Linked DNA regions of Oryctolagus cuniculus. The protein of the gene in region 1 purifies or fractionates together with the protein of each later gene. This does not show direct contact. Links are inferred from orthologs where the notes say so. Each region holds a gene or a part of one and is shown in the gene's direction. Other genes may lie near its edges.

What was found.
Region 2: the proteins of AMFR (region 1) and RNF185 purify together in Homo sapiens (affinity purification with mass spectrometry; 3 studies listed by BioGRID and IntAct, with this or other methods). This does not show direct contact. The link is inferred for Oryctolagus cuniculus from reciprocal best matches to the Homo sapiens genes AMFR and RNF185.
Region 3: the proteins of AMFR (region 1) and UBAC2 purify together in Homo sapiens (affinity purification with western blotting; 4 studies listed by BioGRID and IntAct, with this or other methods). This does not show direct contact. The link is inferred for Oryctolagus cuniculus from reciprocal best matches to the Homo sapiens genes AMFR and UBAC2.
Region 4: the proteins of AMFR (region 1) and ERLIN1 purify together in Homo sapiens (affinity purification with mass spectrometry; 3 studies listed by BioGRID and IntAct, with this or other methods). This does not show direct contact. The link is inferred for Oryctolagus cuniculus from reciprocal best matches to the Homo sapiens genes AMFR and ERLIN1.
Region 5: the proteins of AMFR (region 1) and INSIG1 purify together in Homo sapiens (affinity purification with western blotting; 6 studies listed by BioGRID and IntAct, with this or other methods). This does not show direct contact. The link is inferred for Oryctolagus cuniculus from reciprocal best matches to the Homo sapiens genes AMFR and INSIG1.
Region 6: the proteins of AMFR (region 1) and DERL1 purify together in Homo sapiens (affinity purification with western blotting; 4 studies listed by BioGRID, with this or other methods). This does not show direct contact. The link is inferred for Oryctolagus cuniculus from reciprocal best matches to the Homo sapiens genes AMFR and DERL1.
Region 7: the proteins of AMFR (region 1) and TMUB1 purify together in Homo sapiens (affinity purification with mass spectrometry; 3 studies listed by BioGRID and IntAct, with this or other methods). This does not show direct contact. The link is inferred for Oryctolagus cuniculus from reciprocal best matches to the Homo sapiens genes AMFR and TMUB1.

Annotation. Positions count from the first base shown.
Region 1 is NC_091449.1:40,178,867-40,183,158, reverse strand, and holds the start of AMFR (E3 ubiquitin-protein ligase AMFR), read left to right. Parts: upstream 1-1,492; 5' UTR 1,493-1,703; coding exon 1,704-1,958; intron 1,959-4,292. UniProt on the Homo sapiens protein: E3 ubiquitin-protein ligase that mediates the polyubiquitination of lysine and cysteine residues on target proteins, such as CD3D, CYP3A4, CFTR, INSIG1, SOAT2/ACAT2 and APOB for proteasomal degradation.
Region 2 is NC_091452.1:24,336,346-24,339,845, forward strand, and holds part of RNF185 (E3 ubiquitin-protein ligase RNF185), read left to right. Parts: intron 1-2,110; 5' UTR 2,111-2,157; coding exon 2,158-2,333; intron 2,334-3,500. UniProt on the Homo sapiens protein: E3 ubiquitin-protein ligase that regulates selective mitochondrial autophagy by mediating 'Lys-63'-linked polyubiquitination of BNIP1.
Region 3 is NC_091440.1:13,393,923-13,398,183, reverse strand, and holds the start of UBAC2 (ubiquitin-associated domain-containing protein 2), read left to right. Parts: upstream 1-1,461; 5' UTR 1,462-1,611; coding exon 1,612-1,642; intron 1,643-4,261. UniProt on the Homo sapiens protein: Restricts trafficking of FAF2 from the endoplasmic reticulum to lipid droplets.
Region 4 is NC_091446.1:29,940,169-29,943,668, forward strand, and holds part of ERLIN1 (erlin-1), read left to right. Parts: intron 1-1,766; coding exon 1,767-1,892; intron 1,893-3,500. UniProt on the Homo sapiens protein: Component of the ERLIN1/ERLIN2 complex which mediates the endoplasmic reticulum-associated degradation (ERAD) of inositol 1,4,5-trisphosphate receptors (IP3Rs).
Region 5 is NC_091438.1:13,099,333-13,102,832, reverse strand, and holds part of INSIG1 (insulin-induced gene 1 protein), read left to right. Parts: intron 1-557; coding exon 558-682; intron 683-1,755; coding exon 1,756-1,922; intron 1,923-2,267; coding exon 2,268-2,367; intron 2,368-3,500. UniProt on the Homo sapiens protein: Oxysterol-binding protein that mediates feedback control of cholesterol synthesis by controlling both endoplasmic reticulum to Golgi transport of SCAP and degradation of HMGCR.
Region 6 is NC_091437.1:148,811,690-148,815,189, reverse strand, and holds part of DERL1 (derlin-1), read left to right. Parts: intron 1-2,885; coding exon 2,886-2,997; intron 2,998-3,500. UniProt on the Homo sapiens protein: Functional component of endoplasmic reticulum-associated degradation (ERAD) for misfolded lumenal proteins. Forms homotetramers which encircle a large channel traversing the endoplasmic reticulum (ER) membrane.
Region 7 is NC_091438.1:22,735,940-22,739,925, forward strand, and holds TMUB1 (transmembrane and ubiquitin-like domain-containing protein 1), read left to right. Parts: upstream 1-1,186; 5' UTR 1,187-1,343; intron 1,344-2,140; 5' UTR 2,141-2,170; coding exon 2,171-2,565; intron 2,566-2,775; coding exon 2,776-3,127; 3' UTR 3,128-3,589; downstream 3,590-3,986. Other genes in the region: FASTK (fas-activated serine/threonine kinase), read left to right, coding at 3,949-3,986. UniProt on the Homo sapiens protein: Involved in sterol-regulated ubiquitination and degradation of HMG-CoA reductase HMGCR. Involved in positive regulation of AMPA-selective glutamate receptor GRIA2 recycling to the cell surface.

The DNA of each region.
Region 1 (4,292 bases):
AATGTGGATTGCCAGCGTGGTTTAAAAATGACGGTGGCTACAGTGGTGACCTGCAAAGTGGAGCACTTCCTGGGAAATTATTATCCTTCCCAAATAGAGCTTTCCTTTATTTATTTTGCCAGTAAAGTTTAGCATGTTAGTGAAATGTCTGTGGATGGAAAGCCAAACTGAGTCCAGGCTATGTGTGAAAAAGCTTCGCCAGCAAAGGTGTAAACTCCTTGCACCCCTGTAGAGCCAGACTTGTTTCATGGAGACCTGGAACAAGGTGTTTGAAAAATTCCAAAGTGGGTGGGAACCTTGAGAATGTTTTTCCTAATGAACAGACTTTTAGAATACATGCAAGAAAAAGACCATAAAGCATAATTCAGTCCTCTAGAGAGTTCCTTAGATTTGACAGATATTTAACAGCATCCACTCTGGGCTGGGCACTACTTAAGGTAGTTTTTTCCTTTATACATTTGGAGGGGTAGTAAGCAGCTATAAAGACATATAAGTCACATATTAAGATGTAATTCACTGTTCAAGGTGTATACTGATTTTTAGTCTATTCAGAGTTGGCTTGCCATCATAATTTTAAAACATTACACCCCTTCAAAAAGAAATCATTACCCTTTGGCTATCAGCCTCCTATCAGGAAGCAACTATTAGCCTACTTTTGTGTCTATGCATTTTCCTATTCTGGACATTGCTATCAATGGAATCACAGTATTTGGACTTCAGTGTCACTGCTCTGATTTCGAATGCTTTCAAGATTTGTGCATATTGTAGCCTATATCAATTTTCATTTTCATCTTTGAATAATATTCCACTGTGTTGATTTCTCACATTTATCCATTCATTGTTTGATGGAGATTCCGGGTTCCCACATTTGGGTTACCGGGAGTATGGTGCTGTTATTTGTATGAGTTTTGTATGGATACAAGGTTTTCATTTCTCGGAATTGCTAGGTCAAATGGCCACTCTGATTTTTAACTTTGAGGAAGCGAGGAGACTTTTTTTCCAAAGTAGTTGCACCATGTCAGTATTCTCACTTGCACATTTTTATTTCCTGCCGAATCAGGTTGTTTCTAGAGTCTACTAGTAAACACTTAAGACTGTTTAACATTCCTTCTTTTGGGGGGATCTTTTACACCCCAAACACCACCTCCCTATTTGGACACCAGTTAAACTGCTAGGCCCACAGTGGTGCTCAGGGCTAACTACAGGGCAAGTGGCCGGTCCGCGGGCACTGTGGCCTGGCCAGGACTGCACGCCACTAGCGGCGGGCCTGAGCCTTGCCGGGGCTCCGGCTGGAGCAGATTCCCTCTGCGTCTGCCGGCCCGGCCCAGCGGGGCTGTCGGTGCAGGACGCGGGGAGCCAGTCCCCAGGGCCTGAAGCCCGGGCCTACCCCCACGAGGCGGCGGCGCGAGCGCTGGAGGCAGGGGGTGGGGGGACGAAGGCCGCGCCCCCGCGCCCGGCCCGCCCGCGTCCCGCTGGGGGCGGCGGCCCGCCCCGAGCCCGCCGAGGCTCTTCCGCGCCGGCAGGGGCAGCAGCGGGAGCGGCGCTGGGCGGAGCGGCGCCAGCAGCCAGGAGCGGCCCGGCCCGGCCCGGCGGTGGCAGCGGCAGCAGCGACGCCAGAGCCCGTGGGCGCCGTTTGTGAGGCTGCCACAGGCGCCTGGCCACAGCGCGGGGAGGCCTGGGGTCCGGAGGCCGCCGCTGCCGCCATGCCGCTGCTCTTCCTCGAGCGCTTCCCCTGGCCCAGCCTCCGCACCTACACGGGCCTCAGCGGCCTGGCCCTGCTCGGCACCATCGTCAGCGCCTACCGCGCCCTCAGCCAGCCCGAGGCCGGGCCCGGCGAGCAGGAGCCGCTAACGGCCTCGCTGCAGCCCAAGGCGCCCGCGCCCGCGGGGCCTGGCCCCGAGGGACCCCGGGCCCGCGACGTGGCCCAGTACCTGCTTTCGGACAGCCTCTTCGTGTGGGTAAGCGACGCTGCCCGGGCCCGCGGGGCAGGAGCGGCCTGGGGGTGGGGGTGGGGGCCGCCATGTCACCCATTATTCGTGGGGGGCGTGACGGCGCTTAGGGGTCCCCTGACTCCCGCGCCGCCGTGTGCGGGCCCGGGGGGTGGGTGGGGGGCGGGGCCGGGCGGCGGGGGGCTCCCTGGAAGGAGAAGGGTGAGGTTTGAGGGTTGGCCCGCGGGTGTGGAGGTGATGGGCTCCCCGGGGCAAGGCCGAGTTTGGGGGTTCGAGGAAGGGGGCTGGGGAGGCGGAGGGGCGGTGCTGAGAAGCATGGCTGGCCCGGGGAGGAGGACGGGGGGCCGAGGGCTGAGGTGCCGGCGTCCGGAAGGGGTGGAAGGAAACGCCGACTGGTAGGGTCGGGGTTTCTGAGGGGCCCTGAGGGGTACCCGGAGGCCTAGAAGGGCAGGTTCAAGGGGAGCCGGAGCCGGGCGCGCGGCTCCCCGCCCGCGTGCTGGGCGGTGCGGGGAAGTTGAAGCGCCGTTCCCTCCTCGCGTGGCGGTGCTCGAGCGGGAGGGCAGGGACGGGGAAGGGGGACGCCGAGCGCAGGGCGTGTTTGTGCATTCCCGTCGGGAGAGAGGCGCTCCTCAAAACTTTTTGTGCCTTTAGTGTTTTGCTTGTCCTCTTTGGGCGCTGTTTGATGTAACAAACCTCAGACAAACGGTGCTTCCTGTCCTGCTGCTCGTACCTGACGATTCGTGACGGTTTCCTTTGATGTCCGAAGGCAGCAAACATTCAGAGTGAAGAGGCACGCCGCTCATTCTCACTCAGAAGTTCTCTTTTTGGGGGCTCCATTTTAAAGCAAGGTTTCCAGTTCGTCTGCCCCTGCAAGATAAGCAGCATTTCAAGGTGTCCATGCTGGTTTCGGTTACGAGAACGATGACTTCAGACTGCTAGAGCAACAGTTCTGTTGTTTTGGCTAAAGAATTTTGCTTTCGCCTTGGTCTTGAATACCTCTTCTTGTAAACCCCACAGTAAGGAGGAAAGTTGCTCCAGGATTTAGTCTGTCGCTTGGATTTAGTATGGTGTCTTGAGTCTTGTTTGCCTCTGCAGATCTCTCATTTGGGGGAAAGAGTAGGCTGGAAACGAGGGAGAGATTAATATTCCAAGTTTGTAGAGTGATATGCAACTCATTGGTTCTAATTATTCCCACTGTGCTTCATCAGGAAGCAGTGGGATTTGTGAACTCTGGGGGCTGTGAATTAAGCAGAGTTTAATAGAAGGCAGTGAAGGGTGAAGTTCTGGGTGAAGCTCAGTCATACCGACCATAGAGGGAGAAGAGAACTCACATCTCTTAATTTCGAGCCTGGTTTTGCATTTGAGTTAGCAGGTAAACAGCTAAGCGATGTGAAGAGTGCTTTTGCCAGCTGTTAAGATTATGATGTAGTCTTTGATATATTTTTTCATTCTACGATATAAGTAAGCCTTTGAGAAGGAACCACCATTGTATTTAAACAACTGCAAGTATTGTTTAATGACTTTTCCCCCCAGAAGTTTCTTCTTACCATACCAGGGTTCAACTTTCAAGGTTAATATCTCTTCATAAAACATTACAGAAAGCCTTTTGCTTTTTCTGTGGAAATTATTTTTCCTAGAGGTATTAATTTATGCAGATTTGCCACTTTTTCCTCCCTCTGGGTAGTATTTCCAGTTCTCAGTGGATCCTCATTCTGATTTTCTCCCATCTTTCCTGTGGGATTTTCCTGTGTCCTTGTGTGCCTCCTTGCCTTCTCAACCCTTCACGTGTGCACTAGGAGTGCTCTCCATCGCTCATTGCCTGTCCCTGTGCAGCTGAGTGGAAGGTAGGGTCTCAGAAGCCTTCCCCATTGTTACCCAACAGATACCAGTATTGAGGAAACGTGGGCGGCTTTTGTCAGCAAGGATGCTCCTGGGCCCTGCTCATAGGCATTCAGATGAAATTTTTCTAAAACACAGCCAAGGCCAAGGAAGACAAAACAAAACCTGATCCTTCTGCCAGTTAGCAAATCCTGCTAGCTCTTATTTAGAATATTGCAACCTCTAAAACTTATTTTTTGTTGGAATACAAGTTAGAATAATATGGGCCTGAGCATTTCAGGAGGTTTTTGATTAACAAATTCAATTCAGAACCTTTCAGAAGGGCCCTTCTGGGTACTCTGGAGGGCATAGGTTTCCCCTACTGTCAAAATGCTACAAATAACAAGACAAAATTTCGTGATAATAGATGCATAAACAAAACATGATGGAGTTTGGAGGAAAGAGAAATTCTGCCTAGGAAAGACCTCAAGGAAAGTCTTTGAATGAAGGATGTTTGAATCCAGC
Region 2 (3,500 bases), on another chromosome or scaffold:
AGCAGAGCAGCCGGGACTCGAACCAGCACTCTGATGTGGGATGCTGGCTTCACAAGCAGCCAGTTAACCTGCTGAGCCACAGTGGCCTCCCCTGCAGTTAACACATGTGTGTACTTTCTATAAATAGGTCATTTACTTTAGATGCGTGATCGGGGTCTACATTGTGAGATACAAATGCTTCATTGGTGGTGCTGTGTACTTCTTATTGCATCATGTCAGAGGCGTTGTTAAGATTGATCAGTGAACCTGGATACATAGTTCTTAATTTTAAAAAATCTTTTTAAACAAGGACACTCAAATGGGTTGGTTCCTAGGCTCCTTGAGCAGGAATGATAAGGAAAGGCCACAGTGTGGCCCCCCCAAAACAGACTGCACCCCAAGGTGTGGAGAGCAGATGTGTTGGAGAGGGGAAGCGTAGGGTCGGGGAGGAGGTCTTGGAGCCAAGGCCTGCAAGGCACCGGTGCTGCCAGCAACCTGCTGCCCTTCTGGGACATCATGTAAAATGATGTAACTGCGTGAAAAAGTGGCGGCGAGCCGGCCTCCTCTCCCTGCTCCAGGCGGCGAGCTGCTGCTTTGCTGAGGCAGGTTCCTGAGTGCAGTGCTCTCGTCTACCGCGGGAAGGGAAGGCAGCTTCCAGGTCTGCAAGGGCTGCAGCTCGTTGGTCCCTACCCCCTGCACTCTGGGAGCTGACATCAAGGTGGCCTTCAGGTGCTCCAGTGGTGAGTCCTAGACCTGCGGAGGCGAGAAGATGTGGAGCAGCACAGTCAAGGGGCTGGCGGGGGCACCCCGGAGACCAGGGAGTCTAATGCCTCATTTTACAGATCAGGAAAAGGTGGCCGGGGGTGGGAAGGGGAGGTCCCCAAACCACCTGGCAAGCTGGAGGCTCCGCTGAGGCCAGCATTCAGGCCTCAGTTCTCTAACGATGGCAGCCAACATTGCTTTCTTAGAATTTCTGGGATGTTGAGGGGACCAGCTGAGGATCCTTCATGTGCACCCAGAATTTTGAGCATCCCTTGGTCTTGGTCAGCTCCTGGCTGGGTTCTTCAACTTGGAGGTGGTGGTCAACAGTGGTCTCTCTCTAGCAGCCTTTGGCGGTCAGCTGGTCTGTGGTGGTACAGTGGCTTGAATACAAATGTGGTTCAGCTCCGCATGAGTCAGCCAGCCAAGGTAGCTCAGGCTGCAGTTTCCAAAAGAGGCTGGGCCAGAGCAGGATTTCCCGAAGCAGATTATGAGCGTGCCAGATACTTCAGGTGGTGTGAGGATAAATAGCTTTTCCTTGTTACATTAATCCTTGTTTTCCACTTATGGTAGAGGTAGTACTGGTTTTCCATTTAATTTCTATCCATTACAATGATATAAGCCTCTTCTTTAAATGTATTGAAGCTTAAAACAAAATGTGGATAGATTTAGACGAAATAATGTAGGTGATATTCCAACGTGGCAGAAAAGACAGTGAAAAAGATCACAGTGTGAAAAACACTGGACCGGATGAGCCTTCTGGTCCTTCCTAGTAACCTCCTCGGTTTTCACCGCTACAGGCATGTCTTCATAGTCTGGCACGTGCCAGTCACAGCCCTCCTGCCTGAGCAGAGTTCATTGCTAGTATTGGAGGCTGTCCACAATTAGAGGACAGCCTGAACTTTCCGTGGAATTGAACATATATTTATCACCTGGGTTCTCAGAGGAGCATGTGAAGATAACTCAGACAGGGTCCTGGTTCCTGTGGAAGGCCATCTGCAGGGTTTTTGTACAGGGGTCTTCAAAAGGCTCCTGAAAGTGCATATATTAGTAAGCTGCACGTATTTCAGAAACTTTACTGCACTCAAATAAGCTTTTCGTATTTTTCCGTTAACTTGTTGACGTATATGTGCGGTTGATATATTTGTGTAGTGTATTCGGGGCCATGTTCATGGGAAGTTTCGGAGTCGTTGCCCTTTGGGTAGTGTCCCACAACTGTTGTCCTTTGCAGACCCTTGGAAGTCTACCCAGGGCCGCAGGCACAGCCGGAGACTGGAGTTGAGAGAAGACGTGTTGGACGGGGGTGGTTTGGCATGGAAGGCAGGGGGTGTGGGCTGCAGAAGTGGGTAACCAAGGGCTCTCTGCCTTTCAGGATTTCCCTGGCAGAATCTTCACCAAAAACTTTGCTGACAGCCAAGGATGGCGAGCAAGGGGCCGTCGGCCTCTGCATCCCCTGAGAACTCCAGCGCAGGGGGCCCCAGTGGGAGCAGCAACGGCGCTGGGGAAAGCGGAGGGCAGGACAGCACCTTCGAGTGCAACATCTGCCTGGACACAGCCAAGGATGCCGTCATCAGCCTGTGTGGCCACCTCTTCTGGTCAGTACCCGCTGCCCCAGAAAACATGGTGCTGCGTTTGGGGGGCTGGTAGCCCTGGAAGCCTTGGAGCAGAAGACCTCCCGCCCATTTTGGGTCCTGTTAGACTCGGACCCCACAGGGCCTGCTGCTGAGCTAGATGACCTTGGGCAGATCATGCTCCTTCTCCTTTCTAGAGTAATGACACTCACAACCTTCTTAAAAAAGATTGATTTAGGCCGGTGCTGTGGCTCACTTGGCTAATCCTCCGCCTGCGGCACTGGCACCCCGGGTTCTAGTCCTGGTTGGGGCGCTGGTTACTAGTCCCAGTTGCTCCTCTTCCAGTCCAGCTCTCTGCTGAGGCCCAGGAGGGCAGTGGAGGATGGCCCAAGTGCTTGGGTCCCTGCACCCATATGGGAGACGGGGAGGAAGTACCCAGCTCCTGGCTTCGGATCGGCACCGTGCCGGCCATGGCAGCCATTAGGGGAGTGAACCAACGGAAGGAAGACCTTTTTCTCTGTCTCTTTCTCACTGTCTATTACTCTCTCTCTGTCTCTCTCTCTCACTGTCTAACTCTGCCTGTCCAAAAAAAAAAAAAAGATTGATTTATTTGAAAGGTAGAGTTAACAGAGTAAGAGGGAGAGACAGAGAGATCTAACATCCGCTGGTTCACTCCCCAGATGAACGCAACAGCCAGCACTGGGGCCAGGCTGAAGACACCTGAGTCACCCATGTGACAGGGGCCCAAGCACTTGGGCTATCTTCCACTGCTTTCCCCGGGCACGGTAACAGAGGGCTGGATCAGAAGTGGGGCAGTTGGGACACGCACCAGCACCCATATGGGTGGCGGCATCACAGGCAGCAGCTTAAGCTGCTACGCCACAACACTCACCATTTTGTGAGCACCTGCTACCTGTACTTTGCTTGCTTAGCCTATAGCAGTGTGGCATGGTAGTTATGAGCAAGGACTGTATGCCATAATTCAGAAGATGTCTCCTTCTGAATCGTGGCTCTGCCACTTTCCTGTGGATGAACTTGGGCAAGATGCTTACATGCACTCTCCCTAATTTTACTCAACTGTTTATGAGTATTAAAAGACTTGAAATATGTAAAAGGCTTAGAGGAACACATAGCATGGAGAAAATACTGTGTCAGCAATACCCATAGTAATTGTTACTGTAGCTGTTTTTT
Region 3 (4,261 bases), on another chromosome or scaffold:
AGGGGCAACCAGGACAGAATCCAGTGCCCCGACTGGGACTAGAACCCGGGGTGCTGGCGCCGCAGGTGGAGGATTAGCCTAGTGAGCCGCAGCACTGGCCAACAAATGGTAGTATCTTAAAAAGTACTTCCAGGGAGGACCCTGAGGCCTTATCAATGAGCTTCTTGTACTCTGTTCACTAACACCTCTCGGTTTATCTTGCAGCTTGAACTAATCGTTTACCCAGGCATGAATTCATAACCTCATGCATTGGTCAAGTGGAAAATACTGGTTCAGAGTGTTACACAGGTCTTCCACCAGTACTATGGAAAGCTCCACTGTATACTCATGAGTGAGCCGGGGCAGGGTGGGGACAGCATTGTCTTAGCAGTACCACGAAAATAGCTTTGTCCTTTGGGTTCCCTTTTTGGGTCAGAGATCGCCACACCTACACCGAGTCCCCGTCCTATGTAGGCTACAGGCTTTCTCACCAGCGGACAACTTCTGCAAACATAAAGGACAATCGTTTGGTTGCAAAAGATTTGAGCTGGTTAACCTAAGGTTAAATATAAGCTGTATTTCAAGACTGTAAAAAAAATAAATAAATAAATAAATCAAGCCTGAAGAAGGAAAGAAAAAGCACCTATATTTTTGCTTTCTAGATCTAATCAATGTGACTATTCCGGTCCCCTGGAACTTCTACTAAGGGTGCGGGGACTGTGTTAATAAGGGAATCTCAGATTTACATTGGCTCGTACAAATAAATTCATTTTTTTCTTGTTTAAGTATGCTGTACACTTTTGCAGCCTGTCCTTTCATTTAGCCGTGTACTATGGACAATTTCCCCCTATTCTTTGAAAAAAACTTTTTAAACGATTGTATAATAAAATTTTCAGGCTCACACCTATTTTAGATGAAGTGACTTTAGCAAAGAGCAATTTCAGTCAGCAGTGGGAAGAAAACCTAACCTGACAACAGGCAGGGTCTCTGCGCTGGACTCGCCCCGCGCGGGCGGCCTCCCGGGCCGTTAGGGCTTGGTGCGTGCACTCGCGTGGGCCCGACGTGGGTCCGGACAAAGGGGACAGCTGGATAGGCCCGCTGTCCCATATGGAGGGAGCGTCGGCCAGCTCTCCTTCCGTCCGCGTCCAGAGACCTCTCGCCCTTGGCTGGACACCGGAACCCGAGACGGGCTAGCCGGAAAGACTGGGCATGCGTGGGACGCGCCGGGCGTCCCGTCCGAGGAACTGTTAAAGGACCGAGAGGAATCTGCGGCCATCGCGGCTCCTCAGGGTGCGGAAGCGCGGGTGGGCACAGGGGTACGGCTCCTAGGGTTACCCCTGAGCTCCATCTCAGCCCTTTCCTAACTGCAGCCGCAGCCGTCGGAAAACTCCGCACACGCGAACCCCGTCCGCGGCGGACGCACTTCCCCTCCCCAGCAGGAAGGGAGGGCGCAGACCGAGTGGGCGCGCCCCTGAGTCGCGCATGCGCAGTCCGGAGGGCGTCCCCTAGAGTGGCATCACGGCGCCGGATTCACCGCCCCGCCGGGAGTGCGCCTGCGCGGTCGCCGGGGGCTCTCCACCTCCGGTTCCCCTCCCCCTGGTCCCCCGCGGGGGCTCCGAGCCCGGCGGGACCATGTTCACCAGCACCGGCTCCAGTGGGCTTTGTGAGTACCGGCCGCCGCCGTCCTGGCTGCCCCCACACACCCCCCTGAGCACTTCCTTGAGGAGGCTGGGGGCAGCCGAGCCCCTCCGGCTTGAAGGAAGTGGGAGGGCCGACCCTCCATCTCCGAGCCCGTACCTCAGTAGTTGGTGGCCTTGGGGGGCAGCGGGCTCCGCCCCCATCCTGGCTGGCGAGTGGGCTCGGAGTCCCGCCGCCAGCCTCGGCCCCCGCCCGTGAGCCCCCCCGGCGATGCTGGCGGCGGGCTGGGCAGTTGGGGTCAGGCTGGATGCCCCGGTGTTCCGGGGGCCCTGCCCGATGCCCCCGGTAGCGCGTGTGCCAGGCCGAAAGAAGAGGCCGTCCCGGTGGAGGCGGTGCTGGGAGCCTGCCCCCTTCTCGTCACTTTCCCCATTCATTGAGGCCGCCGACAGGCAGAGTGCAGCCCTCGTCAGGCGCTGACCTCCCCGAGTCGGGAGACGCGCTTCTCCCCGGTCTGAGGAGTTTTCGGGCGATTCAAGTGCTTGCGAGTGGAGAGAAGTTTAGGGAGCCTTTGGCCGGAGACCGTGCTCTGCTGCTGGTGTCGCCGTGGCCATCGGGGCGGCAGCGCTGGTCAGAGTGGCGAGGGAACTCCTATTAGCCGTTTAAACAAGGAGCCACTCCAGGGTGTTTAGCTGACTTTGGGTAAAGCGGATCTGTTAGCCGGACAGCCCTGAGGTCGTGCCCTGACTCCAGCAACAGCCAGCTGTTGGCAGCCAGTATTTGAGCAGCTCTTCGCGAAGCTCTGATGTTTCGTTTGCTTGTCTCCGCGGGCGCTTCTTAACTCTATACGTGTGAAGTGAATGTTGTCGGAATACAGGCACCTGTCTGGCGTCCATCAGCGTCGCAGTCCTGTAGTAAAAATGGTGGGGGTCGGCGCCGTGGCTCACTAGGCTAATCCTCCGCCTAGCGGCGCCAGCACACCGGGTTCTAGTCCCGGTCGGGGCGCCGGATTCTGTCCCGGTTGCCCCTCTTGCAGGCCAGCTCTCTGCTGTGGCCCGGGAGTGCAGTGGAGGATGGCCCAGGTGCTTGGGCCCTGCACCCCATGGGAGACCAGGAGAAGCACCTGGCTCCTGCCTTCAGATCAGCGTGGTACGCTGGCCGCGGTGGCCATTGGAGGGTGAACCAACGGCAAAAGGAAGACCTTTCTCTTTGTCTCTCTCTCTCACTGTTCACTCTGCCTGTCAAAAAAAAAAAAAGGTGGGAACGCATGTCTTCGACCCAGAGTGTGTTGGTGTCAGGGCCACAGGCGTGCGTTTACTTCCCCACCTCTCAGGTTGGGGATTTGATTCATAGCATCTTCCATGGATTGGTCCCAAAATGAGTTACATCTCCTAGGTGGTTATAGTCTCCCTACTACCTTTGGGCTGAAAACCATTATGACTGTTGATGGATGGAACTGAAGCTTCAAGAAAGGGATGGAAAAAGGGGTAGAATTCTTCAGGCTTCTTGTTCTTCAGCATTTTGAACTATCCTTGGTGACCAAAAATACATGTAACAATTGAAAAGGCAAGATAAATCTGTTATTGGTTATTAGTGTATTGGCAACTTGTATTCTGAGGAAGGTAATATTTTGTGACCTGTGGCACAATTTATATTTTTTTTATTACTTTGGTGACTGTTGAGTTCTAGGAACCAAATTGCTGCCCAGAGAGAGGCTTAGGCTGCGGGGCCCTCCCCAGCTGTTTTGGCCAGTTTCTGAAATAAGTGTATCCTCAGTGTGAGGGTAGGTGGAATGGCCCTTCTTTAGGAAGCTGGTGCCATGTGCTTATTCAACAAATACTTTGGGCATCTTTGAGGATATTTCAAAAAGTTGGTAGAAAATGGAATTAAAAGATGAGTTGATTTTGGGGGCTGGCAGAATGGCGTTAGCAGGTAAAGCCATCAGTGAGACACCAGCATCTCGTGGGCACAGGTTCATGTCTCTGCCACTCCACTTCTGGTCCAGCTCCCTACTCATGTCCTGAGAAAAGCAGTAGAAGATGGCCCAAGTGCTTGGGCCCCTGCAGTCCATGTGGGAGACCCATTAAGCTCCTGGCTCCTGGCTTCCACCTGGTCATCGTGGCCATGAACTGTAATTCTAACTTTCAAATAAAATAAATATTTTTTTTAAAAGACAAGTGGATTTTAGTATAAAAGTTTTTGAAATCCTTGTATAGTTCTTTCATAGTACCCATTTTTCATGAACTTTTTTTTTTTTTTTAAATTTTTTGACAGGCAGAGTGGACAGTGAGAGAGAGAGAGAGAAAGGTCTTCCTTTGCCGTTGGTTCACCCTCCAATGGCCGCCGTGGCCAGCGCGCTGCGGCCGGCGCACCGCGCTGATCCGATGGCAGGAGCCAGGAGCCAGGTGCTTATCCTGGTCTCCCATGGGGTGCAGGGCCCAAGCACCTGGGCCATCCTCCACTGCACTCCCTGGCCACAGCAGAGGGCTGGCCTGGAAGAGGGGCAACCGGGACAGAATCCGGCGCCCCGACCGGGACTAGAACCCGGTGTGCCGGCGCCGCTAGGCGGAGGATTAGCCTAGTGAGCCACGGCGCCGGCCCATGAACTTTTTGAAGACCCCTTGTGTGTAGGGATTTCAAATTTTTT
Region 4 (3,500 bases), on another chromosome or scaffold:
CAGTGCCGGCACACCAGGTTCTAGTCCTGGTCGGGGCGCCGGATTCTGTCCTGGTTGCCCCTCTTCCAGGCCAGCTCTCTGCTATGGCCCGGGAGTACAGTGGAGGATGGCCCAAGTGCTTGGGCCCTGCACCCGCATGGGAGACCAGGAAAAAGCACCTGGCTCCTGGCTTTGGATCAGCGCAATGCGCCGGCCGTGACGGCCATTGGAGGGTGAACCAACGGCAAAAGGAAGACCTTTCTCTCTGTCTCTCTCTCTCTCACTGTTCACTCTGCCTGGAAAAAAAAAAAAAAAAAGTCCACAGACCTAGAATGGGTACTATTTAAATCAAGAACTTAGATCACCGTGAATAAAACTGAAAATATTTCAGAGCAGAGAACATATATATTCTGGTCAAAGGGATTTTGATCATGTTTTTCAGAGATTAAGTATTTCCCTCATTTTTTTTTCACCTATTTTTGCTCATCACAAATGATTGGAATAGATGATTGGAAATAGAAGAAGGGAGGGAATTTATGGGTCTGTAAGCAGAGATAAATAGGAAACTCTGAAATCACCAATTCATTTGGAAAATGCCCAAAGAATGTCAGTGTCTGTTAATGGTCTATCATCAGTTGTGATCTGGAATCCGTTTGCATGTAGTATCTGGTATGGGAAGGCTGTGAAGCAAGTCGCTGGGTCTGAAGAAACAGAACGCAAGTTTTGTAGGTAGAGCATAGTTTCTGATATGACTTGGTATGTACCTTTTGAGACATTTCTGAGGTTCTTTTAGGAAATCTTAGTTTGCTAATATGTAAGATGAGATTTTTGGCAGGTATATTACATGCTAATGTATATAAATTGTCTGACCTAAAGCTTAGCCCAGTATTAGTTCCTTTCCCTTCTAACCTGGTGTCTTTTTATAGTCTTTAAAAACTGCCTTTTAAAAATACAGTCTTTTGGCCGGTGCCGTGGCTCAATAGGTTGATCCTCCGCCTTGCGGCGCCGGCACACCGGGTTCTAGTCCCAATCAGGGCGCCGGATTCTGTCCTGGTTGCCCCTCTTCTAGGCCAGCTCTCTGCTGTGGCCAGGGAGTGCAGTGGAGGATGGCCCAAGTGCTTGGGCCCTGCACCCCATGGGAGACCAGGATAAGTACCTGGCTCCTGCCATCGGATCAGCGCGGTGCGCCAGCCGCTGCACACCGGCCGCGGCGGCCACTGGAAGTTGAACCAACGGCAAAAGGAAGACCTTTCTCTCTGTCTCTCTCTCTCTCTTTCTGTCCACTCTGCCTGTCAAAAAAAAAAAAAAAAAAAAAGTCTTTTACAGCTGCTTCCTTCTTTTATCTCCACTGTTCCTTAATTAGTTCACTTCCTCTTTACTTCTTACCTAAGCTTTTACTTTACACTAATTGTCTTAGATTCTCCCTGTGTGCCTCTGAACTCTGTGCCTCTCAGTTCATCTTCACAAAGACACCAAAATAAAAATTTTGTTTGCTCTTCTTAGTATGGAATTTGAGGTTTATCTATTAGTACTGCAAGCAAATGCAAGGATATCTGGAAAATTGAGCAGAAGAAACACATCAAAATTTTTGAGTTGTGTTTTATGTTTTCATAATGTGTATGAGGGATTTCAAAAACTTCATTGAAAGTTAGAATTGTGAAATTCATAGTATGCATTTTCCATGAACTTTTTGAAGCCCTTTGGTTTATTACTTTAATATTTATCCTGAATCTGAGAAACCTGGGTGCTTTTGGGTGAAACAAACCTGGGTTGTACCTCTCCTTCAGTGTTTGATATCGTGAGGAACTACACTGCAGATTATGATAAGACCTTAATCTTCAATAAAATCCACCATGAGCTGAACCAGTTTTGCAGTGCCCACACACTTCAAGAAGTTTACATTGAATTGTTTGGTAAGTAATAGCCTATTGGATATCTTGTAAAACTCATTTATCAATGCTGTAGTAGTATACCTTATGCTATGATAATTTCTTTTGAGTTTATAATAAAGCAATTATATAACTTGGTAGAGATTAGAGTAACTTCATTTACTCACTGTGTTGTGTTATGTTAACTTAATGACATTAGCTTTATTACTACTTAGTAGATAATTTGAGGAAATTTAGTTTCTGGGCTCCCCAAATTCCCCCTTCTCCCCCTACACCAAGTAATTTCGTAGGAAGACTGACAAGACTCAGCATAAAGTTATATTCATGACTACAATTTATTACACCCAAAAGATGAAAAGTGAAATCAGCAAAAAGAAAAGGCATATAGGTAAAGTCTGAAGGAAACCAGACACAGGCTTCCAAGAGTCCTCTCACAGTGAAGTCAACACAGGTTGTATTGAATTCTCCTGGTAACAAGTTGTGACAACACATGGGAAATGTTGTCTACTGAGGAAGTTCATTAAAGACTCAGTCTTGGCCGGTGCCGTGGCTCAATAGGCTAATCCTCCGCCTGCGGCGCCGGCACACCGGGTTCTAGTCCTAGTCCCGGTTGGGGAGCCGGATTCTGTCCCGGTTGCCCCTCTTCCAGGCCAGCTCTCTGCTGTGTCCCTGGAGTGCAGTGGAGGATGGCCCAAGTGCCTGGGCCCTGCACCCACATGAGAGACCAGGAGAGGCACCTGGCTCCTGCCATCGGATCAGCGCGGTGTGCTGGCCGCAGCAGCCATTGGAGGGTGAACCAACAGCAAAAGGAAGACCTTTCTCTCTGTCTCTCTCACTGTCCACTCTGCCTGTAAAAAAAAAAAAAAAAAAAAAAAAAAACTCAGTGTTGGGGCTGGCCCTGTGACATGGGGCCCGTGTTGTGACATAGCAGGTAAAGCCACTGCCTGCAGTGCCCGAATCTCATATGGGCACTGGTTCAAGTCCCAGATGCTCCACTTCCAATCCAACTCTCTGCTATGGCCTGGGAAAGCAGTAGAAGATGGCCCAAGTCCTTGGGCCCCTGCATCTGCATGGGAGGACCTGGAGGAAGCTCCTGGCTCCTGATTTGGATTGGCGCAGCTCCAGCCATTTTGGCCATCTGGCAAGTAAACCAGCAGATGAAAGACCTCTCCCTCTCTCTCTGTCTCTCTTTCCCTCCCTGTGTAACTCTGACTTTCAAATAAATAAATAAATCTTTAAAAAAAACAAGACTCAGTGCTGTGAGTGTTGTTGAGGTCTGGTCACATAGGTGTACCCTCTGCCAACCGATACTAAAATTCCTGTCTCCCAGGAGAAAAGCAGATGTTCAGGGTAAACCACATTGTTTATGTCAATGGTTTAGGGACCGTGAGCTTCTTGTATCAATTCAGGGGATGCCAGGGACCCTCCCCAAATCCAGGTTCCCAGCTGCCAACTAAGGGCCAGTTAACAAATAGGCCTTTGTAAGTAAGGACTGCAGTCTCAGGTCTTCGCATGAACTCTGCTGCATCACGTGAAGAGATGACATTATTACTGTACATTCTGTGTGTGTTTCAGAGACTTTTCTATGAACTTTTTTCCTTTCTTTTAAAATCCAAAGGTAAATGTAAGATT
Region 5 (3,500 bases), on another chromosome or scaffold:
CTTGCAAATTGAGGCCAGTCTGTGGGCATATGACCCGGCCTGTCCGAGTCGACTCAGCGAAACTGTGAGTGTCTCACCATGGGCCCAGCAGGGACCTGTCAGAACTGCGTATGTCTTGTGGCCCCAGCTTTTCATGGCCACTCACCTTTTCATTGTAAAGTGGAAGTCACAGTTGATGCAAATAGATAAGTTATGAAGTCATTTCGGTGTTGCACTTTAGAAAATATGACCATTGAATATTAAAAAATTAACTGTCCGTTTCATTAATATGGCTAGGTAAATCCTTGCTTGATTCACTTCTGTGCTTACTGAGACATGTTTAACTCAACCAAATAACAGTATTTTGTTTTGAAACTTTTCAGAACAGAGTGATATTTGGTGGAGATTACTTAATGAGAACAGAGTATAAAATTAGCCTTAATTTAAATATTATGTTGTAGCTGATAAACTTTCTAGTTAAAGGACTAGTTTGGATAATAATACTGGTGATTACCACATGCAACTAATATCCTTTTGAGCTCATGTATTCTAATACTGTCCCCTTTTCTCTCAAACAGCTGTTGTTGGCTTGCTGTACCCCTGTATCGACAGTCACCTTGGAGAACCCCACAAGTTTAAGAGAGAGTGGGCCAGCGTCATGCGTTGTATAGCAGTTTTCGTTGGCATTAACCACGCCAGTGCTGTATCCTTAAGTCAATGTGCTGTGTCCAAACTATTTCCTTCGGTTACATGCTGAAGCATTTTGTTATTTCTATTGAATATATAGTATTTATTACATCATGCAAGTATTTTATTTTAAAGTACATTACTTAGTTTATGCCTGGTAGGATTTGTATGGGATAGTTTCTAGAGTCTTTTCAGTTTGTTTAGGGAAACAGTTGGAAATAATACCAGTAGTAGAGGGAGCTTACTTATTCTCTCCTTTCTCAGACAGTTCTCTTTTGGATCTTAGGAGTTCATTTTTTTTTTTTTTAATTCATCTTTATGTTTCTGTGTTACATCCTTCCAGTGTGAGACTTGGTGACTCCTAAGGCAAAGAGAGAACTGGCAAGAGGCAGGAGTGTTGATATTCTTGCTACATCTTTCCAGAAGGCTCTGTGTCTTGCCTCTCTGTCCACATAAGTCCAAGAGCCAGTCACAGATGGCTCTTGAACTTCTGGCATGCACAGATGAAATTCATTCTATAGAATATTCTGTGTACCTAATGCATTTTTTTGAGGAAAACAGTCTGTAGTTCCATCATCTATGGTCAGGCTATGAGTTTCTTTAGAGCAACTTGGAGAGAGAGACATTTTTAGAGATGTCAGTCCTAAAATCTGCCCACCTGCTGTTTTAAAGGTATATAAGAGCTCTTGTAGGAGCAGTGTTGATAAGAAGTATTGTAATGACCAGCTGTAAGTGTTTAATGTACTAGAGTGCTGTGGGCCAGATGTCATAGTGTAGGCATGAAGATAGTGCTTGCTAAAAACAGAAGAATGAGAGTACAGATGACTTATTACCAAAATGTATTGTTTTATGGACAAAATAACAGCAGAGTTTTATACATAGCTTTCAGAAAGTTTGCCCTTAAAGCATTTGACTCAGTAATCCCGGGGAATCAATCAGCACAAGCCCCTTTTTTAACTCAATATGCAATATTTATGAATAGTGAATGATTCATTATGTAGTAGTAGTCCACAAGTACTTCATGATTTTATTTTTTGTTTTGATTTCATTAAAAATTTTTTAACTTTTCCTTAATGTTAGCATCACCAGAAATTGGATTTTGCCAATAATGTTCAGCTGTCCTTGACTCTGGCAGCCCTGTCATTGGGCCTTTGGTGGACATTTGATCGTTCGAGAAGTGGCCTTGGGCTCGGGATCACTGTAGCCTTTCTAGCTACTCTGATAACACAGTTCCTCGTGTATAATGGTGTCTATCAGTAAGTGTGTGTTTTCAGATATTACAGTTTATAACATTGTTGTTGCATTGGTTTTATAAAAGCACCCATGAAGCCTAGGAGTTTTTTGTGTGTTTGGTTTTTATGTAGTATGGCATAGATTTAGACATGAAATTCTCAAAAATGCTGCTGATGCATTTTAAAAATACACTTCTGTAAACTACCCTTAAGGGAAATTAAGTGGTAGTGCTGGGATGTGATAATGTGCAATTGTTTTATGATTAAATGCATTTTGCACATCCTCATCACAGATCTTTGACTCAGAATTGAACTGGGTGACACTGACTGGTAAGGCACAGACCTTCTCTCTCCCCGCTTTCCTTCCAGGTATACATCCCCAGATTTCCTCTACATTCGTTCTTGGCTCCCGTGTATATTTTTCTCAGGCGGTGTCACAGTGGGGAACATAGGACGGCAGTTAGCAATGGTAAGTGCGATGATCAAGCATCTCCCAACACTGGAGATTTTTTTTTTTTTTAGCTTGTATGGATTGTTTTACTTGATACATTATAATTAGGGTTCATAAATATCTAGTTCCGACTCAAGAGCAGCAATTATTTTAGGAAAGTCTATGTTGAACAAAAGATGTGATGGTACCCACGTGGTTCTTTGCTACATTATAAAGCTTCGCAGGTCTGGAGACTTAAATGATATTTGAGCTAGAAGAAGCCAGGGTTCTAGTGCAGCTCCTCCTATTACATACGTGTCTTACAGCTTTTCTAGATTCACATAACCAGTGTGGTAGCCAGCAGAGAAGTGGCTAAAGGTGTCTGATGAGTTTCTCTCCTTCCTGCAGTATCAGAAACAAATCTGGATGATCTTAGGCCATGACACCTTGCTCCCCCAGCCTCTGACAACCAGCGTTTCTTTTTTAACAAAATCAAGAGTGAGTCCAGGTGATGCTGAGGGGACTCCGCGTGCCTCAGTCTGCTGGCAGGGGCGCAGGGAGCCTGTGGCTGCAGACCACATCTCAGGCCAGGGCCGGGGAGCGGGGAGCTGGGGCACAACAGGCAGCTGGGGGCAGGCAAACATCGCCCTTTTGGGGGGCAGGTGTACTGGGGCACAGAAAAGAGGACATTCAGCACATGGTGAGCCTTGCACCTGTTCTTGCTGAGAGAGAAGTGCTACCTCCTAGGACACACCTCCTGAGAGAGGGGGAAAGGCAAATGAGTTCAAGGATAATTTTAGCAGTTTTTCTCAGTAGCTATAAATTGACATTTGAGCTTTTTCACTTAAAAAAATTAAATGCAGACATTTAAAGATTGTTTTGAGTTGACCTTGACTCAAGGGCTTACATAAAGTGAGCTTAAAAAAAAAAGTTTGCTAGAACTGTCGCTCTCGGAGATAAACTCTGAGGATTTCTCAGAAGACTTATCTTGGTGCCTTGTGCTATTTTTAAAATGGTACATTTGTGCCAGTTGATACCCATTTGTGAGAAGTTGAACTTGAAGGCCACTTGGCTCTTTCACAAAAATAGAAGTCATTTCAAAAGGGTAGAATTTGTATAGTGTTCACTGGTTTACCGAGTCTAAAAAAATCGGCCTTTTGTGCCTTGGTGTT
Region 6 (3,500 bases), on another chromosome or scaffold:
GCCTCTGCCTGCAGTGCTGGCATCCCGTGTGGGTGCCGGTTTGAGTCCTGGTTGCTCCACTTCTGATCCAGCTCTCTGCTATCGCCTGGGAGGGCAGAAGAGGCTGGCCCAAGTGCTTGGGCCCCTGCACACGAGTGGGAGACCGGAAGAGGCTCTTGGCTCCTGGCTTCGGATCAGCTGAGCTCTGGCCGTTGCAGCCATTTTGGAAGTGAACCAGTGGATGGGAGACCTCTTTCTCTGCCTGTGCCTCTCTGTAACTCTGCCTTTCAAATAAATAAATAAACCTTAAAAAAAAAAAAAAGCTATGAGAAGCTTCTAGGGTGGGAATTACATCAATATCGTGTCCATATAACCAATATATTGTTTAGATTCATTCAGAAAAATAAAATATTGAGACTAACCAAGAAGATTGACAATATAGTAAGAGAAAATAAGACAAAATAATAAGAGAAAGGGGAGGGAGGGGCCGGTGCCTTGGCTCACTTGGTTAATCCTCCGCCTGCAGCGCCGGCATCCCATATGGGCACCGGGTTCTAGTTCTGGCTGCTCCTCTTCCAATCCAGCTCTCCACTGTGGCCCGGGGAGGGCAGTGGAGGATGGCCCAAGTGCTTGGGCCCCTGCACCCGCATGGGAGACCAGGAGAAGCACCTGGCTCCTGGCTTTGGATTGGCGCAGCACCGGCCGTAGCTGCCATTTGGGGAGTGAACCAACTGACGAAAGTCCTTTCTCTCTCTCTCTCTCTCACTGTCTATAACTCTGCCTGTCAAATAAATAAATAAAAAAGGGGAGGAAGATTTAACTATTCAACTTTATCAGATATTAAAATTTATTATAGAACTAGATTAAAACAACTTGGTATTGGTCTAGACCTCAGTTTCAAGCAGGATAGTCTAAAATAGACATTAAGATAAAATAGAATAAATATTCAGTGAAAGTAGTTTTTTTAAGTAATTGGAGGAAATATGGGACACTCTGTCAATGGGAATGGGAAACTGAGTGACCATCTAGAAAAAGAAGGTGAATTTCCTCCTTACTCCTTGGATGAACTATGAAAAGTGCTATAATAAAGCTGTGAGCACTTTGATATTCTTGGAGTGAAAATATTTCATAAGCTTGATAAATGGTGGATACACTTACTTACATTTAATTTTGTTTTAATTAATTTATTTGAGAGGCAGCGATGACAGAGAGAAATGGACATCCAGAGAGCTCCTGTTCCATCCACTCTGCAAGTGTTCACAACATGCCCTGGCTGGGGCCAAAGCTGGGTGCTTGGAACTCAGTCAGGTCTCCCACGTAGGTGGCAGGAACCCAGTTACTTCACTATCACTCCTGCCTCTGAGGTATGCATTAACAAGAGCTGGAATCAGGAGTAGAACTGGGACTCGAAACCAGGCATTCTGATGTGGGATACAGGCATCTCATCTATTGGGCCAAATGTCTGTCCTCGTTGCTACCTTAGAGAGAGGTCTTCTATTCACTGGTTCACTCCCCAGGTGGCCGCAATGGCCAGAGCTATGCCAATCTGAAGGCAGGAGCCAGGAGTTTCTTCCAGGTCCCCCATGCAGGTGCCATCTTCCACTGCTTTCCTAGGCCACAGCAGAGAGCTGGATCAGAAGTGGAGAAGCGGGACTCGAACTGGTGCCCATATGGAATGCTGGCACTGCAGGCAGTGGGTTTACCTGCTATGCCACAGCGCCAGCCCCCTGTTACTTTTTGAAAATAATATTGGTACAAAAACCTCATCAGTTGTTGTTAACAAGGCTTATTTCTTACTGCAGATCCTTCTGTATTGTTTGTTCAGGTAATGGTTTTTATGTCATGTGTGCTCATTTTGTCTATTTAGCCAATTTTTTTTTAGTAAAAATCCCTGTTTAAATTCTTTTTGAGTATGACATTTTTGAATAAGGTTTATCATTCCTAAATAGAGATATTATGAAATTATTGTACTGTTGGGAAAGAAGTCTTTGCAATTCATTTTGTCATAGGCTTAGTTGTATGATCTCAGTAACTAAAGATGTAATTCTTTTTTAAAATGTTTGTTTATTTATCATCATCTACTTTAAAGAGGGACAGAAAGAGGGATCTTCCATCTGCTGGTTCACTCCCCAGATGCCTGCCACAGTCAGGGCTGAGCCACGCCAGAACTCCATCCACGTCTTCACATGGGTGGCAGGCACCCAAGCACATGACCCGTCTTTGGCTGCGTTCCAGGATGCATTTGCAGGAAGCTGGATTGGAATAGAGGAGCTGGGATTCAAATTGGCATTCTGATAAAGGACACAGGCAGCCTAAATGTTCCCCAACACCTGTCCCAACCATGTACTTCTATAACATTGATTTTTTTTTAAAGATATATTTATTTATTTGAAAGAGTTAGAGAGTGGGAGAAGCAGTGGGGGAGGGGGAGGGGTCGTTTGTCCACTGGTTCACTCCCCCAATGGCTGCAATGGCTGGAGCTGGGATTATTTGAAGCCAGAAGCCAGGAGCTTCTTCCAGGTCTCCCACGTGGGTGCAGGGGCCCAAGTACTTGGGCCATCTTCTGCTGCTTTTCCAGGCCATAACAGAGAGATGGATTGGAAAAGGAGCAGCCAGGACTAGAACCAGTGCCCATATGGGATACCAGCACCGCAGGCTGTGGCTTTAACCTGCTGTGCCAAAGGGCCAGACATTGATTTTTAAGAGCTTGTTTAGAAATACTTATTGCTTATCCATTGGTTTGCAAATTGATGTGATTGTAATTTATATGAACTTTTCTTCAGTTGTTTTGAATTGTGTTGGTAGTATCATTTTGAGAAAGCTTTGCAAAGGTTAATTTAGTTAAAAGAAAAAAAATTAATCAGGCTTAGAAAAACTAACAAATGTCTTTATTTTGATTTTGACAGATTTGGAGGCCAATCACTGCCACCTTTTATTTCCCTGTGGGTCCAGGAACTGGATTTCTTTATTTGGTCAATTTATATTTCTTGTATCAGTATTCTACTCGCCTGGAAACAGGTAAGTCATCTGTAGATGTAAATATTTTTTTCTTCTGATTTGCTAATTCATATGTTTCTTTTCTTGGAGGAATTTTGAGGGCAGGTAGCATTTGGTAAGAAATGGCGTAATGATTGTGTTTGCTCAGTGAATGCCAGGACTGTGCTAAGCACTGAAGTTGTTTGTCCTTTACTCTGTAAAATGTCAGGAAGTATAAGTAGCACTTTTTTTTTTTTAGCTGAAAAAAGAACATATTAGAGGTTTACGTTTCCTGCCTGTCTCTTAGTGGCTCAGCTGTGTGCTTCTCACTTGATTAGATGATCTCATTCATTTCTGTTGTAGAGCAGTCCTTGTCATTTAGTGCAAAATTGGGTTGGAGTGTATATGTTGTCTGGAGTGGGCTTGAGAAGTACTACTTTGTGCAATTAGAAGCCTAGAATTGCTCTCTCTAATTGAAACACTCAACTTTGAAATGTATAGCCAAGATTTAGTAATGTGGTAGCGTCCGATATGAATCCCTGTGT
Region 7 (3,986 bases), on another chromosome or scaffold:
CCTCCTCTACTTTTCCCAGGAACATTAGCAGGGAGCTGGATTGGAAGTGGAGCAGCTTGAACTCAAACCACTGCGCATATGGGATGAGGGGCTGCAGGCAGAGGTTTAACCTGCTACACCACAGCACTGGCCCCCAGGTAGATTATTTTCAATCAAGGCTGGCCTGTAAAATCCAGGAGATGAGGTTTCTGTGGCTACAGGATCCCAGAGGAAGGAGAGGAAACCCACAGAGATTAGCTAGACCAGGCCAGGCTGGGACTCAACATCCTTTAAATTATAACACTGTAATGACACAATTTATGTGCCAGGTTTAACACTAGATGAGCAAATATCTACTAAATGGCAAATATTTTACATACATTTAATAAACCATGTAACTTATTCCTCACAATTGAGGTAGGATGAATGTTTTAGAAAAGAAACTTTTTTTTTTAATTTATTTATTTGAAAGAGTTACACAGAGAGAGGAGAGGCAGAGAGAGAAAGAGAGGTCTTCCATCCGCTGTTTCACTCCCACTCCCCAATTGACTGCAACAACTGGAGCTGTAGCGATCCGAAGCCAGGAGCCAGGAGCTTCTTCTGGGTCTTCCACGTGGGTGCAGGGACCCAAGGACTTGGGCCATCTTCTACTGCTTTCCCAGGCCATAGCAGAGAGCCGGATTGGAAGTGGAGCAGCCGGGTCTCAAACCGGAGCCCATATGGGATGCCGACGCTTCAGGCCAGGGCGTTAACCTGCTGTGCCACAGCGCAGGCCCCAAAATTTATTTTCAAAGAGATTTAATAACCCACCCAAGGCCACACTGCCAAGCACACGATAGAGCCTATGCAGGGACAAGGTGGAGAAGGGGGCCAGGGGAAGGCGGAAGCTTGGGGAAGTTATCTTTAGCCAGCCTGGTGAGCAGCCCACGGGTACTGGGCTTTGAGTCCAAGTGGCCTTCTGCCATCCATTCTGACATAAGGGCAAGCCGGGATAGGGGCCACCTGAGTTCCCTAGGGCTCTCATCACTGCATCATCAACACGGGCGCTCTGACGTGCACCTGCTGACGTTGGTGTCTGGAACCACAGATGCCCTGGCTGCTGGCAGCGGAGGAGGCGGCCCCTGCTACCGCCCAAACCTCACAGCCGCCCCCGCCAGCCCCTCAGTGGTCAGGGAACAGCCCGCACAGCACCGCACGTCGGTCCGCAGGGAAGAGGGCGGGGACTGCGCGGCGCGGGACTACAAATCCCACAATGCTCCGGACCGCGACGGCGGGGAAGGAGGGGTGCTTCAGGTGTCTGCGACCTCGGCGCCTCCCGCCCGGAAGTGCCCGAGGGGCCGAGATGGAGCTGGCGGAGCCAGGCGGTGAGTCCCCGCGCCGTGACCGCGCCCACCCCGCCGCCCCAGGACCCAGCCGGGCCCCGCTCGCCCCGCCCCGGGATCGCCCTTGCCCTCCTGCGGCTCTAGGGTGGGGGTGGGGGGCGGGAAGATGGGAGGGGTGATGGAGGAGAGTGAGTGAGAGAGAGAGTGGCGGGGGTGAAGTCCCAGATTCCGGATCTGGGGTCTGGCAGCTGGCTGGGTTTGGAGAGGTTTCTCGAGCAGACGCGCAGTCGGGCCCCCACGGGGGTTGGGGGTTGGGGGTTGAGTGGACCAGGCGGGGGCCGAGTTGGGTGGGTGGCAGCTCTTAGAGGCTCCAGATTGCCCAAGGGCGGAGTTTGACGTTTGGTGTGGGGGAAGCTTTGGGAAGCAGTCCCGTGCCGCGCGCGGGTGCGGTTTGGGTATGGTAAGGGGCGAGGTGAATGGAGCTGTAGAGGATCTTCCCCCTTGGAGAAACTGTATCAACATAAGAGTGGATGAGCGTTGGGGTGAAGTAGATGGAGGAGTAGGTACACTTTGGGATGCAGTAGAATAGAAAAACTTTGGAGGGGCTTGAATTTAAGGGGTGCTCAGAAGGCGATAGGGTTTTGGTGAATTGAGGGGTTGGTTAAGAATAGGGAGTTGTGATTGGATTTGGTGATGGGAAAGGGCAGGAGGAGGCAAGTGTGGGACTACTGGGAGAGCAGTCTGCATTTTGTAAGAAAGCAGAGGGATTGGAAGAGCTGGGGTGGGGTGGGTCAGGAGGCAGAGAGCCAGCCCTTCATGAGATCTTTGTGCTTTTCCAGCATGGTAGCCTGGCGGGCAAGGCAGGTGCCATGGCCCTGATTGAAGGGGTGGGTGATGAGGTGACTGTCCTTTTCGCGGTGCTTGCCTGCCTTCTGGTGCTGGCCCTCGCCTGGGTCTCGACACATACCGCCGAGGGCGCCGACCCCCTGCCCCAGCCATCAGGGGTCGCAACAGCAGCACAGCCCGGTGAAGTTATGGGAGCCACCGCCACCGACAGCGTCAGAGGGGAGTCCCCAGGGGCCGAGACCCCCAGCCTGAGACACAGAGGTCAAGCTGCACAGCCAGAGCCTGGTGCAGGGGTCACAGCAACACCGCCACCCCCGGACTCCCCACAGGAGCCCCTAGTGCTGCGGCTGAAATTCCTCAATGACTCAGAGCAGGTGGCCAGGGCCTGGCCTCACGACACCATTGGCTCCTTGAAAAGGTAAGCAAAGAGATGAGCAGGAGAAACGCCACTGGGAGTGGGGGTGGGAGTGATGGTTTTACCTCCTTGAGGGCCCTCAGCTCCCCGTATCACACCCGACGGCAGGCTGCCCCCTCGGGTGGTGTGTGGGGGCGGGGGGCAGCGCTGTTTTGGGTGAGGGACTAGGATTGCCTGAGGCCTGCTCTCTTACCCAGGTCCCTCTCTCCTCAGGACCCAGTTTCCCGGCCAGGAGCAGCAGGTGCGGCTCATCTACCAAGGGCAACTGCTAGGAGACGACACACAGACCCTGGGCAGCCTTCACCTCCCTCCCAACTGCGTTCTCCACTGCCACGTGTCCACGAGGGTCGGGCCCCCGCATCCGCCCTGCCCGCCGGGGTCAGAGCCAGGCCCCTCCGGGCTGGAAATCGGCAGCCTGCTGCTGCCTCTGCTGCTGCTGCTGCTGCTCCTGCTCTGGTACTGCCAGATCCAGTACCGGCCCTTCTTCCCCCTGACCGCCACTCTGGGCCTGGCCGGCTTCACCCTGCTCCTCAGCCTCCTGGCCTTCGCCATGTACCGCCCGTAGTGCCTCCACGGGCTCTCGGCAGCGTCGCCGGCCCCTCCGGACCTCGCTCCCCAAGGCACAGCGGGAGCTGCTGCCTGCCCAGGCCCGCCTCTCCGGCCTGCCTCTTCCCGCTCCCCTGGAGCCCAGCCTTGCGCCGCAGAGGACTCCGGGAGCTGGCGGAGCCCCCTGCCTGTGACCGCCACGGCTCGGGGCCACCTCCTAGGGCTGCAGGCCCCCAGCCCTCACTGACAGTTGGCTCCTCGGGGTCAGGTACCTGCTGTCGATGCCTTGGCCCTGGGCAAAGCCAGGCCACCCCCCTGGGCCCGTCTTAGTGTTCTGCCTGTGGACCCGGCCATGTGTAGACCCTAACAGCTCCTCGGGCTGGTCTAGGGACGCAAAGACTGCGGTAGGCTGGTGCAGGGGATGGGAGAGGGGCAGAGGTCTATGAAATATGTGCAGATTAAAATAACTGTGAAGTTTTCACTCTTGGCGTGTGTCTGAGTGGGGCTGGGAGGCGGGGAGCCCTTGTTGTCTGGGAGAAAAGGGAGGGAAGGACCGGGACTGGACCCTCGGCCCTGTCCAACCCGCCGGCGACTAACTTCCCTTCTCTGCTCCGGTCGCCGCGGCTTCGGGGTTTGGTTCTGTGGCCCCGCCCCCTAGCCTGGGTCCCGCCCCCGGTGCTGCGCGCGCACTTCCCGGAAGCTGGGGGCGGGGCCCGCGGCGCCCTGGCTCGCAGCGCCTGCCGGGAGCCACGTCTCCGCTGGCCAAGCGCTTCGCCGGGGTTGGCGTCCCGGCGGCGATCCGGGGGCTGCTGGGAAGATGGCGGACTCTGTGGCCCGCGGATGAGGAGGCCGCGGGGGGAACCCGGCCCCCGGGCCCC